2 linked regions of the Macaca fascicularis genome follow. The protein of the gene in region 1 purifies or fractionates together with the protein of each later gene. This does not show direct contact. Links are inferred from orthologs where the notes say so. Each region holds a gene or a part of one and is shown in the gene's direction. Other genes may lie near its edges.

Region 1 (3,645 bases):
ACCGAGCTCAGCCAGGAGCGCCAAAACCTCTTCACCGGCTACTTTCGCTCGCTGCTCGATTCGGATGACTCCTCCGATCTCTTGGACTTTGCCCTCTCAGCCTCTCGCCCAGAGTCCCGGAAGGCATCAGGCACCTATGCAGGGCCACCCACCAGCGCCCTACCTGCCCAGCGGGGCCTTGCCACCTTCCCTAGCCGGGGAGCCAAGGCCAGCCCAGTGGCAGTGGGTAGTGGTGGGGCTGGGGCGGACACCTCCTTCCAGCCTGTCCTGCCCACGCGCCAGACCTTCCCACCAGGACGGGCAGCGAGCTATGGGCTAACTCCGGCCACTTCAGACTGCCGGGCAGCCGAGACCTTCCCCAAGCTGGCTCCCCCGCCCTCAGCCGTGGCCCGCTCACCTACCACCCACCCGCCTGCCAACACCTACCTGTCCCAGTATGGCGGCTACGGGGCTGGACAAAGCGTATTTGCCCCGGCTAAGCCCTTTACAGGCCAGGACTGCGCTAACAGCAAGGACTGCAGCTTTGCCTATGGCAGTGGCAACAGCCTCCCTGCCTCACCCAGCAGCGCCCACAGCGCCGGCTATGCCCCACCGCCTACCGGGGGCCCCTGCCTGCCACCAAGCAAGGCCTCCTTCTTCAACAGCTCTGAGGGGGCCCCCTTCTCTGGTTCAGCCCCCACGCCCCTGCGCTGTGACAGCCGGGCCAGCACAGTCTCGCCTGGTGGCTACATGGTGCCCAAGGGCACCACAGCCTCTGCCACCTCTGCAGCCTCTGCCGCCTCCTCCTCCTCTTCCTCCTTCCAGCCCTCGCCCGAGAACTGTCGCCAGTTTGCGGGGGCTTCTCAGTGGCCTTTCCGGCAGGGCTATGGAGGCCTGGACTGGGCCTCAGAGGCCTTTAGTCAGCTCTACAATCCCAGTTTTGACTGCCACGTCAGTGAGCCCAACGTGATCCTGGACATCTCCAACTACACACCACAGAAGGTGAAGCAGCAGACGGCTGTGTCGGAGACCTTCTCCGAGTCATCCTCCGACAGCACCCAGTTCAATCAGCCGGTCGGTGGCGGCGGGTTTCGGCGTGCCAACAGCGAAGCCTCAAGTAGTGAGGGCCAGTCGAGCCTGTCCAGCCTGGAGAAACTGATGATGGACTGGAACGAGGCATCATCTGCCCCCGGCTACAACTGGAACCAGAGTGTCCTCTTTCAGAGTAGCTCCAAGCCGGGCCGTGGACGGCGGAAGAAGGTGGACCTATTCGAGGCCTCACATCTGGGCTTCCCAACATCCGCCTCTGCCGCTGCCTCAGGCTACCCATCCAAACGGAGCACTGGGCCCCGGCAGCCGCGAGGTGGACGGGGCGGTGGGGCCTGCTCAGCCAAGAAGGAGCGGGGTGGTGCAGCGGCCAAAGCCAAGTTCATCCCCAAGCCACAGCCGGTCAACCCACTGTTCCAGGACAGTCCTGACCTAGGCCTGGACTACTATAGCGGGGACAGCAGCATGTCACCACTGCCCTCACAGTCGAGGGCCTTCGGCGTGGGAGAGCGAGACCCCTGTGACTTCATAGGACCCTACTCCATGAACCCGTCCACGCCTTCCGATGGCACCTTCGGCCAAGGCTTCCACTGCGACTCGCCCAGCCTGGGTGCTCCCGAGCTTGATGGCAAGCATTTCCCACCGCTGGCCCACCCGCCCACGGTGTTCGACACCGGCCTGCAGAAGGCATACTCGCCCACCTGCTCGCCTACACTGGGCTTCAAGGAAGAGCTGCGGCCACCGCCCACCAAGCTGGCTGCCTGCGAGCCCCTCAAGCATGGGCTCCAGGGGGCCAGCCTGGGCCACGCAGCTGCAGCCCAGGCCCACCTGAGCTGCCGGGACCTGCCACTGGGCCAGGCCCACTACGATTCCCCCAGCTGCAAGGGCACAGCATATTGGTACCCTCCAGGCTCGGCTGCCCGCAGCCCGCCCTATGAAGGCAAGGTGGGTACAGGGCTGCTGGCTGACTTCCTGGGCAGGACGGAGGCCGCGTGCCTCAGTGCCCCTCACCTGGCTAGCCCACCAGCCACGCCCAAGGCCGACAAGGAGCCACTGGAAATGGCCCGGCCCCCTGGCCCACCCCGTGGCCCTGCTGCAGCCGCTGCTGGCTATGGCTGCCCACTCCTTAGTGACTTGACCCTGTCCCCCGTGCCGAGGGACTCGCTGCTGCCCCTGCAGGACACCGCCTACAGGTACCCAGGCTTTATGCCCCAGGCGCATCCTGGCCTGGGAGGGGGCCCCAAGAGCGGCTTCCTGGGGCCCATGGCGGAACCTCACCCTGAGGACACATTCACCGTCACGTCCCTGTAGTGCCAACTGAAGTGCCGACTGGACCGCGAGGTTTTGTTCCTGGGTGAGTCTGGGGATGTGGGCGCAGTGGGCAGAAGCCTGGGGGTGGGGAGAGGACATCAGAGCTTAGTCAAGGACAGAAGTATGGAGTGCAGGAAGCAGATGCAGGATTTAAGGGCAAGGCTGGGGACCGACAGCAGGGCATAGGGACTGAGGATTCGCTGTTGCGGACAGCCTCAGAAGGAGATGGGGTACTTGGGCTGGGAACTCGGCAAGGGGCTTGGACTTTCAGGGGGTCTTGTTAATTGAAATGGCCAGAGGACTATACACTGGATGGGTCCCCGTAGTTTGGTTCATCAAGCTTTCAGTTCTTTGTTCGTGCTATGTCTTGGATAGGAAGTATTTCCCAGGAAATACACTGATAAGAGCGGGCATTTACATTGCCCTGTGTGAGACAGGTGAAGGGAGGAGCAGGTTGGATGGTCGTCTACCCAGGGCCTATCCAGAGCACCAGCCCTGCTGGCACCCCCATTTCCCTGGGAACTTCATCGATTCTAAGAGGCAGCCTGGTGAGGGCCAGGCCAAGAGTGGCCAGTATGGCATGGTCACACACTCTGCGAGGGCTTCACAGGATGGCCCAAAGTGTCTTCCCTTGACCTCTCAAGGTACCCCCAAAGGCTATTTTCCAACATCTTTGGCCTGAGATAGGCTAGGTGTGGCCAGGAGCATATGGGGTAGGAACCCAGAAGTGGAGAAGGGGTGCTGGGATCCCACTGTCCCTGCAAACCTGCAACCAGTGAGACTATCTTCAGGCAAGGTATTTTGACCCTAGAAAAGCCAGTCCCTTTCCTGAAGCCAAAGGCTTTTCTGAGAGTACAGTTAAAGAGTGTTAAATGTTTCGATACTGTTTTTATCAGGTACTGTGACCTCATTAGTTGGAGTCAGTTTTAGTATTCTCAAGATTGGGTGTTTTAAAAAAGGAAAATAAAATACAGAAAAATGCCCCCAAAATGATCAAAGAGAACAAGGTGGAAGGAGCCATCTTGAAGAACAGCCTGCTCCAGAAATACAGCCGCCACTGGCCCCGCTTTTGGACAATAGATCTGTCACAAAGTTGTCCCAGATGTGGTAGTGGGTGGCAGGGCAGGCTGGGGGCATGCCTGCGCCCCTCACCCTTCACCTTTGCTGCCACTGAAGCTTCCTGGGAGTTTCTCTTCCTGGAGGAGTAGCTGGGCTCCTGGAAAGTCCCATCCGTGCTCTGGGAGGCCATTCAAGGCCAGGGTGACTCAGGGTCCTGAAGTCATGTCAGTGGAAACTTGTTGCCCGCTC
Region 2 (3,720 bases), on another chromosome or scaffold:
CCAGCACCAGTAGCGCTGGTGAGTACCCAATTGTTTGCTGTTTACAAAGTAGATTCATCGTAAAGCTTCTAATATAGTAACAATACAAGGCTTTAGTCTCACCATTTATTTTCTCTCCCATTTAAACAACTTCAAGAGACAGGTTAAGAAAAAAATCAGGTGATTAAAGTAGATGGAACTACTGAGACTACCGTCCCTTCTTACTCAATCTTGAGCCCTTAGTGCCAGATGGCAGATAGCAATTCAAAAAGCTCTCCCTCCAATTATAAATATCACACGTACTAGATAGAGGAAGCTCCCAGTTCTGACCAAGCTTTGTATGATCTCAACCAAGCAGTTATGCTCCATCTTTTTGTCCATCTCTAACCTACTCCTTTCACTTGGAAGGTAATTAACAACGGCGACCACAATCTACCGCAAGTCTCCCGTGTCCACGTAAAATACTCGCCATTGCCCCCAGTCTTAGCCGTTTAAGTAAATGTCCCCAGTCTTTTACTACGATCACTCCTCCTCCATTCGCAACAAACTAGGACCGAAAGGTCCACATGATCCTTCTTCCTTTCCGATTAAGCCTGGGGAGTAGGAAGTGAAAGATATACTTTGAAGGTAAACTGAAAAGTCGGTTTTTGGATCCCCAGCAAGCCCTTGCCTTAATGCCGGGTGGTAAGAGAGTCCCTCCCTAGGATGTAAAGCGATGCCACCATCCCGAGTGCCACTACTGACGCTCAAGCCCACGCCCCCTCACCTGAGCGCAGCCCCTACTCCCCGGGGCCCCGCCCACGCACTCTCACCTGAGAACAGCACCAGCTCCCCACAGCGACACCGCCCGCGCCCCACCATATAGCCAGATCACGGCTTCTCCTTCCGGGTGAGTCGCCGGTGCCCCAGTGCACGACGGGAGACGCCCTAACCCCGGCTGCCCAGGACGCCCCGCCTTTACAGGCCCGGGCTCTGAGTGGGATTCCCGCTTCCGAACGGCGCAGTTCCGCTTGCCAAGGCCCGGGACTGGAGTCGGGATCCCCCCTCCACTCACTTGGGACGCTAGAGAGTGGACGCAGGTGCGGGGTGAGGGACGGCGAATGGGCTCGGATATCCAATCCGGGGCCGCGTTCCGCCCACTGTCAGGGGAAGCCAATCAGCGGCCAGGGGGCGTCCGCAACGGTCAGCCAGTGGGTCACGAGAGCAGAGGGGTGTGAGGGGGTTGTTACTCTTGTTCCCTTAATGCGAGGTACCGTCTGCAGTGTGGGAGGTTCGGGGCTTTAGGAAGCCCACATCCCTGGATCCTCACTAAGTCTCGAGAGTCACCATTGGAACCTCGTAGTTTGTTGTTCCCCAGCGGAGCTATCGAGGGGACTCCGATTCCGATTCGTAAAGCCACTGACCGATTGTCAGAGTGAAAGCCAGACTCGAGAGGGTCCGGCGACTCAGATGGCTCACACCAAAACAAACTCGAAGCAGCATCATGCAGCTAGGGAGCAAGAGAAAACCGTTCAATGTGTTGAAGACTTTTGCGATGGTCTTTTAACAACTTATTTAAAGATAATTTCAGCAAGTCTAGCGCGGTGGCTCACGCCTGTAATCCCAACACTTATTAGAGAGGCCGAGGCGGGAGGATCGTTTGAGGCTAGTCTTGAGACACGCCCTACCAATTTAGGGAGACTCTCGTCTCTGCAAAAAAAAATTTAAAAATTAGCCAGGCGTGGTGGCATGTGCCTGTAGTCCCAGCTACTAGGGAGGCTGAGGCAGGAGGAAGGCTTGAACCAGGGGTTCGAGGCTGCAGGGAGCCCTGATCTCTGCAGAGCAAGACCCTGTCTGAAAAAAAGAAAAACAGCTAAAAGGAAGAAAAGAAAGGGGCCGAGCACGGTGTCTCACGCCTGTAATCCCACCGCTTTGGGAGCTGGAGGCGGGTGGATTACCTGAGGTCAAGAGTTCGAGACCAGCCTGGCCAACACGGTGAAACCCTGTCTCTACTAAAACTACAAAAATTAGCTGGGCATAGTCATGGGCACCTGTAATCCCAGCTATTCAGGAGACTGACGCAGGGGGATTGCTTGAACCCAGGAGTTGGAGGTTGCAGTGAGCCAAGATTGCGCCATTACACTCCAGCCTGGGAGACTCCATTGTAAAAAAATAAAAATAAAAAAAAATTGGGCCGGGCGCGGTGGCTCAAGCCTGTAATCCCAGCACTTTGGGAGGCCGAGACGGGCGGATCACGAGGTCAGGAGATCAAGACCATCCTGGCTAACACGGTGAAACCCCGTCTCTACTAAAAAATACAAAAAACTAGCCGGGCGAGGTGGCGGGCGCCTGTAGTCCCAGCTACTCGGGAGGCTGAGGCAGGAGAATGGCGTGAACCCGGGAGGCGGAGCTTGCAGTGAGCCGAGATCCGGCCACTGCACTCCAGCCTGGGCGACAGAGCAAGACTCCGTCTCAAAAAAAAAAAAAAAAAAAAAAAAAAAAAATTAAGGAAGATAGCTGGATTCTCATATGTGCTTCCCCTTTCTCTGTTGTGCTCTGTTGTTTTGGTACATTAAGAAAATTCAGCCTTAAATAGATATGTAGTTGAGAAAAGGAAGAGTATATTTAGCCTTCTCAAACAATTTTGAATATTCTTCTTTGATACTACCCAAATTCAACAAATGGTAACTTTTCTTTGTTTTTTTTTTTTTTTTTTTTTTTTGAGACGGAGTCTCGCGCTGTGTCACCCAGGCTGGAGTGCAGTGGCGCGATCTCGGCTCACTGCAAGCTCCGCCTCCCAGGTTCACGCCATTCTCCTGCCTCAGCCTCCGAGTAGCTGGGACTACAGGCGCCCGCCACCACGCCCGGCTAGTTTTTTGTATTTTTAGTAGAGACGGGGTTTCACCATGTTAGCCAGGATGGTCTCGATCTCCTGACCTCGTGATCCACCCGCCTCGGCCTCCCAAAGTGCTGGGATTACAGGCTTGAGCCACCGCGCCCGGCCTTCTTTGTTTTTTTGAGACAGGTTCCTGCTCTGTTGCCCAGACTGGAGTGCAGTGGCAGGATCACAGCTTACTGCAGGCTCAACCTCCAGGGCTCAAGTCATCCTCCCACCTCAGCCGTTGGAGCTGCTGGGACCACAGGTGTGTGCCACCATACTCGGTTAATTTTTTTAATTTTTATACAGATAGAGGCTCCCTATGTTGCCGAGACTGGAAGTGTTTATTTATTTATTTATTTATTTTTTAAGTACACACCACCTTGGAGATGGAGTCATTTCTTAAAGGTTAAGTGGGCCGGGCGCAGTGGCTCACGCCTGTAATCCCAGCACTTTGGGAGGCCGAGACGGGCGGATCACGAGGTCAGGAGATCGAGACCATCCTGGCTAACACGGTGAAACCCCGTCTCTACTAAAAATACAAAATTTTTGTATTTTTACAAAATTTTTAAAAATACAAAATTTTTGTATTTTTGTATTAGTCTCTACTAAAAATACAAAAAACTAGCCGGGCGAGGTGGCGGGCGCCTGTAGTCCCAGCTACTTGGGAGGCTGAGGCAGGAGAATGGCGGGAACCCGGGAGGCGGAGCTTGCAGTGAGCTGAGATCCGGCCACTCACTCCAGCCTGGGCTACCAAGCGAGACTCCGTCTCAAAAAAAAAAAAAGGTTAAGTGCAGGCCAGGCGTGGTGGCTCACACCTATAATCCCAGCACTTTGGGAGGCCGAGGCGGGTGGATCACAAGGTCAGGAGATCGAGACCATCC

The links. The genes of interacting proteins can lie anywhere in the genome.
Region 2: the proteins of AHDC1 (region 1) and CBX1 purify together in Homo sapiens (affinity purification with mass spectrometry; 4 studies listed by BioGRID and IntAct, with this or other methods). This does not show direct contact. The link is inferred for Macaca fascicularis from reciprocal best matches to the Homo sapiens genes AHDC1 and CBX1.

The regions. Positions count from the first base shown.
Region 1 is NC_088375.1:207,521,685-207,525,329, forward strand, and holds part of AHDC1 (transcription factor Gibbin), read left to right. Parts: coding exon 1-2,337; 3' UTR 2,338-2,380; intron 2,381-3,645. UniProt on the Homo sapiens protein: Transcription factor required for the proper patterning of the epidermis, which plays a key role in early epithelial morphogenesis. Directly binds promoter and enhancer regions and acts by maintaining local enhancer-promoter chromatin architecture.
Region 2 is NC_088390.1:58,617,951-58,621,670, forward strand, and holds the start of CBX1 (chromobox protein homolog 1), read left to right. Parts: upstream 1-886; 5' UTR 887-1,058; exon of another isoform or gene 1,059-1,100; intron 1,101-2,983; 5' UTR 2,984-3,101; intron 3,102-3,720. UniProt on the Homo sapiens protein: Component of heterochromatin. Recognizes and binds histone H3 tails methylated at 'Lys-9', leading to epigenetic repression. Interaction with lamin B receptor (LBR) can contribute to the association of the heterochromatin with the inner nuclear membrane.